Regions from separate parts of the Mus musculus genome. Here regions 2 and 3 are each reported to be linked to region 1. The links are microRNA targets in miRTarBase. Many come from high-throughput screens and were not tested one by one. Region 1 holds a microRNA gene; each other region holds the end of a gene's coding sequence.
What was found. The annotated mature microRNA mmu-miR-466f-5p reads UACGUGUGUGUGCAUGUGCAUG and lies in region 1 at 1,863-1,884, shown strand. An mRNA with a match to its seed (bases 2 to 7 or 8) in the 3' UTR can be bound and repressed. Matches are read on the target gene's strand: a 7mer-m8 pairs with bases 2 to 8, a 7mer-A1 pairs with bases 2 to 7 and ends in A, and an 8mer does both.

Region 2: miRTarBase lists Emc3 as a target of mmu-miR-466f-5p. Seed matches in the 3' UTR shown: 8mer at 3,547-3,554.
Region 3: miRTarBase lists Zfp641 as a target of mmu-miR-466f-5p. Seed matches in the 3' UTR shown: 7mer-m8 at 3,157-3,163.

What each region holds. Positions count from the first base shown.
Region 1 is chr2:10,466,823-10,471,070 of GRCm38, forward strand. It overlaps Mir466f-2 (microRNA 466f-2), which reads left to right and starts at 1,853; the gene lies at 1,853-1,946. The region is part of intron 10 of Sfmbt2 (Scm-like with four mbt domains 2); the gene reads left to right. Mir466f-1 (microRNA 466f-1) reads left to right here and starts at 122; the gene lies at 122-215. It overlaps Mir669f (microRNA 669f), which reads left to right and starts at 407; the gene lies at 407-527. It also overlaps Mir669e, Mir669b, Mir669d and Mir669l.
Region 2 is chr6:113,511,913-113,516,160 of GRCm38, forward strand. It overlaps Emc3 (ER membrane protein complex subunit 3), which reads right to left. Exons shown (of 8, transcript NM_175101.3): 8 at 2,975-4,119. The coding sequence ends at 3,991. Among named protein-coding and RNA genes, the nearest start is that of Prrt3, 12 kb to the left of the region's middle.
Region 3 is chr15:98,284,645-98,288,892 of GRCm38, forward strand. It overlaps Zfp641 (zinc finger protein 641), which reads right to left. Exons shown (of 6, transcript NM_173769.4): 6 at 1,478-4,248. The coding sequence ends at 3,828. It overlaps Gm33967 (a long non-coding RNA gene), which reads left to right. Exons shown (of 4, transcript XR_001781762.2): 3 at 1,481-2,430. Among named protein-coding and RNA genes, the nearest start is that of Zfp641, 9.4 kb to the right of the region's middle.

The DNA of each region.
Region 1 (4,248 bases):
ATAGGGGACAGTGAATGTTCTCACTCACCAGGTGTAAACGATTGACAGAGTCAGGAGGATCAGAAGTTCAAATTCATGCTTACCTTCAGTTAGAGATCATCCTGGTATTCATATGTATGTGCATGTGTGTTTACGTGTGTGTGCATGTGCATGTGTGTATATGAATATACATACACATACACACACACATACACACACATGCAACACACACATATGAATGACACTCACTGATCACTTTTAATGATATGTGACTTATAGTTTTAGAGATTATACAGTACTGGGCCAGTGAATGGTCTCACTCAGAAGGTGAAAATGCTTGCCAGAATCAGGAGAATCAGGAATTCAAATTCATGCTCAACTTCCTGAGAATTTAGAGATTAGTCTGTGATTCATGTGATGCCCCCCATGTATGTGCCTGTGTGTATAGTTGTGTGTGCATGTGCATGTGTGTATATGAATATACATATACATACACACACACGTATAAACGCAAGCACAAACACACACAGAGGAATGGCACTCGTTGATCCATTTGAATGATATGTGACTTAGAGCTTTAGAGATTATGTAGTATTGGGCCACTGAAACTTTTCATTCACCAGGGAAGGCTTGCCAGAGCATCAGTATCCAGAGTTCAAAATCATGCTTAACTTCATAATGAGTTAAAGATCAGCCTGGGATTCATGGGCTGTACCCTATATATGGGCAGGTGTGTGTCTTGTGTGTGCATGTTCATTTGTGTATATGAATATGAATATACACACACTTACACACTCATGCACACACACACACATCCATTTGAATGATATGTGTCTTAGAGCTTGAGAGTTTAGGCAGGACAGTGCCAGGGAGAGATCTCACTCACCAGGTAACAATGTTTGCCATACTCAGGAGGATTAGGAGATGAAATTCATGCTTAATTTCATGATGAGTTAGACATCAGCCTAGAATTCATGGGATGTCCCCCATGAATGTATGTGCATGTGTATATAGTTTTGTGTGCATGTGCATGTGTGTCTATTAATGTACATATACATACACACAAACATATACACGCATGCGCAGATACAGACACAGAAATGGCTTTCATCGATCCATTTGTATAATATGTAAATTTACTGGGCCAGTGAGACATCTCACTCACCAGGCAAAAACATTTCTCACAGTCAGGAGAATCAGGAGTTCAAATTCATAATAACTTCATGATGAGTTAGAGATCAGCCTTGTGTTAATGTGATGACCCCTATGTATGTGCATGTGTGTATATTTATGTGTGCATGAAAATGTATGTATATATGAATATACATATACATACATACCCACACAAACATGCACACACACACAAACACACCCACAATTGCCACTTACCAATCCATGTGAATGATATGCAACCTAGAGGTTAGAGATTGAGTATTCCTTTGCCCAAAAGAGCTCTCTCTCTCTCACCAGGTGAAAATGCTTGCAGAGTAAGGAAGAACAGCAGTAAAAATTTATGCTTAATTTCATGATGAGTTAGAGATCAGCCCGGGATTTGTGTGTTGCTTGCTCTATATGTGTGTATACTTGTGTGTGCATGTATATGTGTGTATATGAATATACATATACATACACACCCATATACACACGCATGCATGCACACACACAAATACATATACACAGGAATGGCACTCATCGATCCATTTGAATGATATGTGACTTAGAGTCTTATAGATTATGCAGTAGTGTGTCAATGAACGGTCTCACTCACCAGGTGAAAATGGTTGACAGAGTCAGGAGGATCAGGAGTTCAAATTCATGATTAACTTCAGTTAGAGATCATCCTGGCATTCATGTGATGCCACCCATGTATGTGAATGTGTGTTTACGTGTGTGTGCATGTGCATGTGTGTATATGAATATATGTATACATACACACACACATACACACTCATGTAACACACACACACACACACACACGAATGGCACTCATTTATCCATTTGAATGATATGTGACGTAGAACTATAGAGATTATGTAGTACTGGGCCAGTGAGTGCTCTCACTTTCTAGTTGAAAATGCTTGCCAGAATCAGGAGAATCAGGAGTTCAAATTCATGCTTACATTCATGAGGATTTAGAGATCAAACTGTGAATCATGTTTTGCCCCCCATGTTTGTGCATGTGCGTATAGTTGTGTGTGCATGTATATGTGTGTATATGAATATACATATACATACACACCCATATATACACGCATTCATATGAACACATCAACACACACGCAGGAATGGTATTCATCGATTTATTTTATTGATATGTGATTTAGAGCTTTAGAAATTATGTAGTACTGGGCCAATGAAACTTTTTACTCACCAGATATAAACGATTGGTATAGTCAGAAAGATCTGGAGTTCAAATTCATGCTTAACTTCATAATGAGTTAGAGATCAGCCTGGTATTCCTGGGATGTACCCCGTGTATGTGCATGGGTGTATAGTTTTGTGTGCATTTGCCTGTTTGTATATGAATATACATATCCATACATACAATCATATACAGGCACACAAAGACACACAGACATGAATGGCACTCAGTGATTCATTTGAATGATATGTCACCTCAAGTTTTGGAGGTTATGCAGTACTTGGCCTGAGAGGGGTCTCAGTCAGCAGGTGATAATGTTTACCAGAGTCAGTAGGCCCAGGGCCTGGCAAACGCAGAAGTGGATGCTCACAGTCAGCTATTGGATGGATCACAGAGCCCACATTGGAGGAGCTAGAGAAAGTACCCAAGGAGCTGAGGGGATCTGCAACCCTATAGGTGGAACAACAATATGAACTAACCAGTACGCCCCGGAGCTTGTATCTCTAGCTGCATATGTATCAGAAGATGGCCTAGTCGGCCATCAGTGGAAAGAGAGGCCCATTGGTCGTGCAAACTTTATATGCCTCAGTACAGGGGAACGCCAGGTCCAAGAAGTGGGAGTGGGTGGGTAGGGGAGTTGGGGGGGGAAGGGTATGGGGGACTTTTGGGATAACACTGGAAATGTAAATGAAGAAAATACCTAATAATAAAAGAGTTCAATTTTATCCTTAACTTCACGATGAGTTAGAGAGGAGCCTGAGATTTTTGTGATGATCCCGTGATGTATGTGTGTATATTAATATACATATACATAAACTCATACATACACATACATGTGACACCCACATATGAATGGCACTCATCGATCCATTGGAATTATTTGTGACTTAGAGCTTTAGAGATTATGTAGTACTTGGCCACTGAAAGTTTTGATTCACCAGGTAAAAACCCTTGCCAGAGTCATCAGTATCTGGAGTTCAAATTCATGTTTAACTTCATGAAGAATTTGGGATCAGCCTGGATTCATGTGATGTCTCCCCTTGAATGTGCATATGTGTATACATAAGTGTGTTCATGTGTATATGTGTATATGAATATACATATACATACACACAAACATACATGCATGCATGGACACACACACACATGAATGGCACTCATTGATCCATTTGTATGATATATAATTTAGAGCTTTAAATATTATGTAGTACTGGGTCAGTAATAGTCTCACTCATAAGGTAAAAACACTTGCCAGAGTCAGGTGAAGAGAGAGTTCAAATACAAAATTTACTTCATGAAGAGATAGAAATCAGACTGGGATGTTTCTTATGTATGTGCATGTGTGCATATATGTATGTGTGCATGTTAATATATGCATATAAATATACACATATAAACTAACCAACACAACATGCACACACACAGAGACACACACAAATACACACACACACACACAAACTCAAAATTGATACTCATCTATCCATTTGAATGATATGTAACTTAATGTTTTAGAGCTATGTATAAATGGGTCAAGGAGAAGTCTCACTCACTAGGTGAAACACTTGCCAGAGTCAGGAGGATCAGGAGTTCAAATTCATGCTTAATTTCACAACGATTTAGAGATCAGTATGCAATTGATGTGATGCACACCAAGAATGTGCATGTGTTAGAGTTGTGTGCATATTCACTTCTCTATATGAATATGCATATACACACATGCACACACAGTAATGCCACTCATATATCCTTTGAAATGATATGTGCCATAGAGCTTTAGCGCTTATGCGGTAGTGATCCAGAGCTATGTCTCAGTTAGGAGGTGAAACGCTTGCCAGAGTCTGGAGGATCTGGAGTTCAAATTCATGTTTAACTTCATGATGAGTTAGAGTTCATCATGCGATTCATGT
Region 2 (4,248 bases), not on the chromosome of region 1:
ATATCTGCCCCTTACAAAAGTATAAAAAGTGTGCTCTTTCTTTGTTCTGGGTCTCTCCTCTGGCCTGTGTGCTGAGAGGGGAGTCCCCAACATGTTGGAATAATAAAAAATCCTCATGCAGGATTTTTGCAGTTTGCAGCGATGGCAGTCTCTGTGGTCTTTGTGAGTGAGGGTCTTTTGATGAACTCCAACATTGGAAGCAAGCCAGTAAGCAGCATTCCTTCATGATCTCTGCTTCAGATCCTGTCTTAGCTTTCCTCTGTGATGTATCCTGTAAACCAAATAGTTCCTTCCCTCCTTGTATTAATCAGGGTTCTCTAGAGGAACATCCTTTCTCCCTTCTTCTTATGTTCTTGACAGGTGTTTTAGTTAGGGTGATTATTGCTGTGGTCAAAAACCATGACCAAAAGCACCTTGGGGAGAAAGGGGTTTATTTGTCTTAAATACCCTGAATCAGTCCACTGAAGAAAGCCAAGGCAGGAACTCAAACTGGGCAGGAACTTGGAAGCAGGGGCTGATGCAGAGGAAATAAGAGGATTGTTACTTACTGGCTTGCTCAGCCTACTTACAGAACCTAGCCAGCTCAGTCCATAATGGCTCTAGCAGCCCAGGAGTGGCCCCATCTACAATGGGCTGGAGAGATTGGCTCAGCGATTAAGAGCACTGATTGTTCTTCCAGAGGTTCTGAGTTCAATTCCCAGCAACCACATGGTGGCTCACAGCCATCTGTAATGGGATCCCATCCCCTCTTCTGGTGTGTCTGAAGACAGCTACAGTGTACTCATATACATCAATTAAATTTAAAAAATATTTTAAAAAATGCTCTACAGACTTGCCTACAGCCTGACTTATGGAGGCATTTCCTCAGTGAGATTCCCTTCTCACAGATGTAGCTTGTATCAAGTGGCCATAAAACTAGTCAGCACAGCGGGGTTGAGACCTCATCCATACAAATCATCTACTCAGCTTACATAAGAGAGGGTCTTACTAAGCCCAGGCTGGCTTTGAACACAGTATGTAACTAAGGATGACCTTGAACTTCAGATCACCTTTCATTCCCCTTGAATGCTACTATTACAGGAGAGTGCCATCATGCTGGGCTTAGGGAGTGCTAGCATTGAACCCAAGGCCCTCCTGTATGCTAAGCAAGCACTTTATAAACTGAGCTCCGTATGTAGCCCTAAATGTGTCATAGGGAACCCTGAAAGTGTGCTGTGCCTAACCCATTTTCAGACCATCCCTGCTGTAGGGAGCCATTCTTCCTGAATGGGATAAAGTCACACATTTCCTAGACAAGTCAAAGGGGGTACTCCTAGCTCCTGTCATATCCAGCTTTAGAACATCACTCTCTAGTTTGGATCTGGAACTTCCCTAAAGGTTCACATGTGGAAGGCTTAGTCTCCAGTTTGTGCAAATACTGTGATGTAACTTTTCAGATGAAAGGCCTCATTGCAGCAAACTAGGTTGGCAGGGCATGCCCCTCAAGATGTCAAGACCCTGTCATATACTCTGTGCGTTCTGGCTCCTCCCCACAGGTCTAGAAACCAGAGGCAACAAACCATGGAGCGAAACATCTGAAACTGTGAGCCCAGATTTTCTGTTTCCTTGATTATTGTTAGGTATTTTATCAGTGATAACAGGTCATCTATCACATTACCCTGTGAACAAATTCACAGGACCCTTAAGGAGGCATTTCCCGTTCTGCTTCCCCAAGCCCTGGTAACGACTAATCTACCTTTATTTCTATGGATTTGTTAATTCTGGAGGTTGCATTAAAACATGGGATGGGATGGGATGGGAGTTGACTGTGGTGGTGCCATCTTTAGTCCTGGCACTGAGAAGGCAGAGGCAGAGGCAGGTGGATCTCTGAATCCAAGGCCAGATTGGATTACATAATAAGTTCTAAGCCAGGTAGGGCTACATAATAAGGCCCCAAAATAAGGAGGGGAAAAAAAGACCCTGGAAGGGCTGGGTATGCAGCTCAGTGGTAGAACACTTGACTAGTGTACAAAGGTCCTGGGTTCTGTCTTCAGCACACACAAAACTGGGAAGGGCACTGATTCATTGACACTGGGTTCTTTGTTTGAGAGACCAGCTCTGCTGTAGTGGCAGTACATCGTTCGTTTTATTGCTTAGTAATCTTTCACATGAATATGACAGTTATTCATGATGGACAGCTGTGTGGCCTCCCACTGTGACTAAATGCTGCTGCTGTGACTGTGTCTAAGCTCTGCATGTGTCACTTTTCTTTCCCAATTCTCTAATGGGTTGTGTCCTTTCTCTGTCATTCGGCAAAAGCATTTAACCTTCTGAGGACTTTTCCAAGAGGCCCGGACAGGGGAAATGCCTTTTCAGAGGCAGGCACGAGGACACAGGACAGGACCAGACCATGACCATGAGCTCTGCGCTGCCACCCTGTCCCACCCCCAGCATTCTACACAGCAGTTACTTACCAACGCCTACCCCAGCTGCAAGCCCTGACCCTTAGTCCCTCCCCCCACTTTCAGGATCAAGTTTGCTTCTGAGATGGCTCACAAGTCACCCTGGCTTTGGACCATCAGATTCAGAGGTTCTATGACCTCAAAATAGATCTCTCTTGGGGATGCAGAGACGTGCTTAAGAGCACTGGTTGCTCTTGTGGAGGACCAGGGTTTGGTTCCCAGCACCCTCACGGTAGCTTACAACCCATGATAACTCCAGTTCCAGGGAACTCACCACCCTCTCTAGCCTCTGCAGGCGCTGACACATGTGGGGCACAGACCTGATACAAGCCAAACACTCATACAGATAAAAGAAAATAAGCAGTTCTCTCAGATGAGGTCTTTTGTGTGTGTTCTGGGGATAATGTACTCTTAACTGACATCACTAGGCTACATCCACAGATCCCCCGCCCCCCTCTATGAGTTTGTTGAGGGCAAAGGCTCTTATCTCTTTCCCCTTCAGAACCCACAGAAGCAACACTTTCACAGGCAAAGAGAAAACAGGGCTGTTTAATTAAGAGTCAAGAGTCGCTTGTTCTTGGCTACAGTGCTTAACATGCAACACACCCAGCTTTTGGTACAGAAATGGCACCCTAACACTTCCCTGGTCAGAGGACTCCTGGGCACCTTAATCTACATATCCACCAGAAACTGTCCTCTTGCCCCAACAGTGGTAAGTTCTCTCCTGCCCAGAGGAACTGGGATGAGGTCATTCGTTCAAATGAGTAGCCATTTACAGCACAGCACCATTGACTGGCCGATAGAGTTGATATTTCCTCAAGTTCCAATCAAGAACTTGTATATGTAACCTGTCTCTGATGAGCCCAAAGGCACTTGAGAGTCTGGCTGTGCCTCAGGGTCACCTGTTTTCACTGGACTAAGTATGAAGAGATATGAAAAGTTTGCTGAGTCTGCCCCGGCCCTGGGGATCCACTCTGCAAAGAGTTTATTTCAGCAATGTTGGGCCACACCAGTTCTCTGCGTCCTTTGTAGGCTCAAGTGAACAGTGCGGGGAGCGCTGTGCTGCTCAGCCATAGTTTCTAAATTGTGGTAGAGAAAAGTATATTACGTGTGTAAAGAAAGTTAAAAATACAAACAAGAAATTCAAGGTAAAATGCAGGGTGTTTGGATCCTAAGAAAACAGGAGTTTACTGTGGCTGGAAGTCAGGCTGACCGAACATAGTAACTGCTATAACTGACAATGCTCTTTCCAAGCACGGAGTTTTTGCTAAGGGTTGAGCTATTCTCAGTAGCATGGGGTCTCCCCTTTCTCTGACGTCCTTACTAGAGTCACCTGAAGGAACAATCACAAACTTTAAGACAGCAGTCACCCACAACTCCTTTTCCTCTAGTTTCCAACATAAAGGGGAACCCAGCTCAGACAAGAATGAGCCTTGCTGCACCCGCCAGCCCCTGCACCCTCCTTTTTATTCTCAGAGGCTCCAGCTCCACGGAAGTTACAAGGTTAAGTGCTACTGCAAGTTCCGGACACAGCTGACCCCGCATGTGGTTAGAATATGGACGTCTGTAGTTCCTTTTTGAACATGCCTTCAAAGTGGAGGTCTCTGGCCATGAGTTCTTCTTCCACATCATCGAGCGCCCACTGGTGATCTGTCAGTTCCAAAGCTTCCCACTCTGTCTGCACAGGAAGAGAACACAGGGATGCTAAGAGGGATGCTTGCCACTGAGCTGACAGCTGGGGACAGCATGGAGTGACCACCTCTCTGACCAGCAGCTAAGCAAGGCTGTTCTGTGTATGAGCTCATTG
Region 3 (4,248 bases), not on the chromosome of region 1:
CACATACTCTGCTGTGGTTTAAAAAAAAAAAATCTGGAGAAATGAATGGATTTCTCAGCCACTAAGTTCTCTTCTTTGGCTATGTTGTCCCTATATTAAGTCCTCATCCATCTCTCCGCTCGTGTGCATGAGCACACACCCTTATGTGCGCCCCCTTCCGCAAACTGAGACAGTTTGAGGCTCAGGAAGGGCAAATTAATCCTCCCCCCAGCCTCCAAATAGATGAGAAATGCCTCTGAAAGGGAAGGAAAGCATCCCGGAAAGGAGGGAAAGAGCTGGACCAGGCAAGCAGAGGCAAGCAGTGGGCTGGGGAAGTGGACTGTGGGTCGGTGCACCATGGGTGAGATTTTCAATACAGTAGAGGCAAGACGGAGAGAGATGGAGAGAGAAAGGAAAAAGAAAAGGAGGGAGCAAGGAGAAGACTAGGCAGCAGGCAGGGGTAGCGATGGGATCGGAGTGGAGTGCAATTAGCCAGAAACTTAGAGAAACTAGGTTTGCAGGGACAGAAATGGGGCAGAATAAATACCCCTGGGAAGGGATGAGATTGCTCAGGCAAAACAAACTCAACGGAACAACAGAAGTGAGAAGAAAGCAAGTAGGGTGCTGCCTGTGGGGAAACGAGTTGAGTAAGAGGAGGGAGCCCAGGGCGGAGCCTAAGATGTGGACACGAGTGGTGACGAAAGAGAGGGGCGGAGCCTGAGGTGTGGCGTTACCTGGACCAGCACCCACAGGGTAGATGCAAACAGCTCACAGAAATTCATTGCCCACATCTGACCTCTGAGAGTGTCAGACACACATATGTGGTGCATATACATACACTCAGGCAAAACACTCATACACAAAATTAAAATGTAAGGGTCTTGGAGAGTGTACTCATGAGACCCAAGAGTTGAGGAGGTGAAAATTTGAGGTTATGTGAAGAATCAGACCCATTCACTCATTTAATGGTCGTTGCTCGTTTTATTATTTGTCCAAAGGCGTTGTATTGGACCGAGGTAGACAAGATAACGTTACATCAGAAATGAGCCAAAGGACTGTTCCTTTTGGGAAAAAAAAAAGCCCTTAAACTCTGTGCTGCCTTTCAGTTGGATGCTGTAACCGCACCTACCCTTTGGGGGCTCCACTTTCTATCCCCTCAATTACTAAAGCAGATAAAAGGCTGGAGGTTACACTGTTATTGAGAGGTATCGTCTGATAGGTAGGAACATTAACACCCACAAGCGTTTAAAGCCGGCTTTGTGAGCTGAGCCATGAGCACGTTGATGTTCCCTAAGAACAGGGCACAGTCAGTCTAAGCCGTGCCTTAGCCATTGAAGGCCTGGCTCTGTCCTCATCTCCTGGTGCCTTCTAGTATTTAAATCCTTAAAATACTTGATGAATCTTGCCTTGTAGTTCTTGATACAAGTGTCATCTACACAACAACCAGTCAGGAAGGATACATCCCTTATGTTTTGTTTGTTTTGTTTTGTTTTGTTTTCAGACAGGATCTCATTACATTGCCTTGGCTCATCCAGAACGCAGAAACCATCTCTCTCTGCCTCCCTGAAGCTGGGATTAAGGATGTGAGAGAGACACCACCACCAACTGTTCCTCTCCTTTGGAGATGCCAAGGGCAGGCTCTGAGTCCACTTGTCCAATGCATATGCAAATGAGTGAGTTGTAAATGTCTACTTTTCTGCCTGGTTTCTACCGGATTCCGAAGGGATTGCTTTGCACAGAGCTGACTTTATCGTAAATATGTGTATTAAAGTGGGCGAGTTTTCTCATTCTCATCACATTGACTCTAGAACGACTCCAATCCCCGGAGACTAAGGCCTGCTTGCAAGGTTGCCCCCCCCCTTTTTTTTTTTTGCTTGATTCATCAGAACACAAGCAAGAGAATGCATCCTAGCTCAAGAAGGGAGGCTGTTCTGAGCAGCTGCAGAAAGAGGTTGGAGGCTGGGCTGCTCAATTTAACCAAAATGCCTAGTCAGCAGAATAACTCTGTTTCCATTCCTCTCGAGCCAAGGGCCCAAGAGCTCTCTCTGATTCACCCAGCTTTTCTCAAGCAGAGCACTCATTAACTAGATCGCTGAAAATCACTTCCTCCTGTGTCTTCTCTGGCTAATTCTAACAGTGTTCGAGAAATAAATATCTCAAGGAGAAGCAGCAGCCCGTGCGTGAGCCTTGAAGACACCCCCTCTTACATTCTTTGCTTCTGTTCCTCCCTGACTCCAAACTTCTCTTAAATAGAGGTTAAGTTGTAAGATGTGTATTAACACAGTCACCAAAAAGAAAAAAACAGTGAAAACTCGTGAACTGACAGGCATGGGGACATCTGTCTGAACCCTGGTGCAGGCGCTAACCTCAGAGGCAAGAGCCAAAGTGTGAAGCCCTTTCCAGAGGCAGCAGGAACACCTTCAGGAAGCTCAGTAGCCTCAGGTCGGCAAGGTAAGCAACAGCCTTTTCTCCTCCGGTTCTTTTTCCTGGGAGAATGAGAGGCTCAGCAACCATTCTTCCCTTTGATGAAAGCCAAACTAGGATGACAAGAGTAACTCCCAGGGCTGTGACCCCTGTCCTGATAGTTTTAGCACGTGAAACAAAACAAGACAGAACCCCACGCAGCACGAACCACCATCACATTGCTCGAGGTCAACAACAACAACAAGTCACTGTCCCTTTCCGTCTCTGTAGGGGAAGGGAATTTCCTCCCAGGGATTCAGACCTAGATATACAAATCCACAACTGTCTACATCCCAGGAATACCAAGGAAAACTTTGTACACAACTCAAGCCATTGTTACACCATCCCACTACGACTCCCTGTACCACTCAGAATACGTTTAAACAAAACCAAAACTCATACCGTCCCCACTACCCTTATCCCTAGAACACAGTTCCTAGAAAACCTAACTTGTACATTTCGCACTGAGCATGCTGTCTTCAAAGACCCTGCACACGTACACACACGGACACAAAAACACAGACAAGAGAAAGCTCTGTTCAAGGGGATAGTTTTTCCTTCTGTGTGGGCCTTGATTACTTGGGTAACAAAGTTCACTCTTTAGCTCTGTAACCTGATCTCTCAGCTGTGTGTGTGTGTGTGTGTGTGTGTGTAGCATGTGTGCATGTGTGTGCATATGCATCCATGTGGTTGTGTGTGGTATGTGCATGTTGAACGTGTGTGTGTGTGTGTGTGTGTGTGTGTGTGTGTACAGGATGAGGGACTATGAACTGGGAGTGAAAGCTCACTCTATACTTTTCAGAGGGAGGAGTGAGAGGCATGTGATCACAGGGGAAGAGAGAAGAGGAAGAGAGGAGGCAGACCCACATGAGAGTGTCTGGCCCCTTGCTCTCAAGCTCCGAATGCCTGATCACCATCTCTTTCCTGTTTCTTCCTTTCATCTTAGCCCAGTACTTCATGGAGTCACCCATTCTGTAGAATTTGATGTAGATCTTGGAGCCAAACAAATTTAGGAAACATTACATGAATAGAAATTGACTGTGGGGGTTCTCAGAGCCCTTGATATACTAACAGCCGCTTTCACTTTCTCTCTGTGTAGAGTAAATACTTGGGAACTGGTACCACATGGACCCCAACCAGTGAGAATGGACCTCAGCTATCACTGCTGGTTCCCTTGAGAGTAGGTTCAGCATGAATAGCCTCACACATACATACTTTGCACCATTTCCCACAATTTTGCCCAGAGAACTCTGTTTTCCCACGTTGTCTCACAGAAATGGTGAGAAATACTCTGGCCCTCAGGGTACAGGAGAGGGCCAGCTCTGGCAGTGGCTGCTGGTAGCACCGGCTGACAGATATGACCATGGCTACAGAAGAGACAGATTTCAAAAGGCAGCTGTCCTTCTGTCCCAGCTGCTCCCAGGACTCTGTCCCTGGTGGGTCAGCAGGTGCCTATCTAGGTGGTGCTTGCGGCCAAAGCTCTTCTCACAGCGAGGGCAATGGAAGGGCTTCTCCCCGGTGTGGGTCAGCCAGTGTCTCACCAGGTGGTGCCTCCGGCCAAAGCTCTTCCCACATTCAGTGCACACATGGCACTTTGGCACGGGAGGCACGCAGTGCTGAGCCGCAGGACTCTCTCCAAAGTCTTGGCCCTTGCAGGACTTGCTGTCTGCGTGCACTCTCTGGTGGCTGGCCAGGTGCGAGCTGCATCGGAAACTCTTGCCGCACTCAGAGCACCTGCTTGGCTTGTCATGCAGATGGGTTTTCTGGTGCCTGATCAGGTGGTGCCTTCGCCCAAAGCTTTTCTCA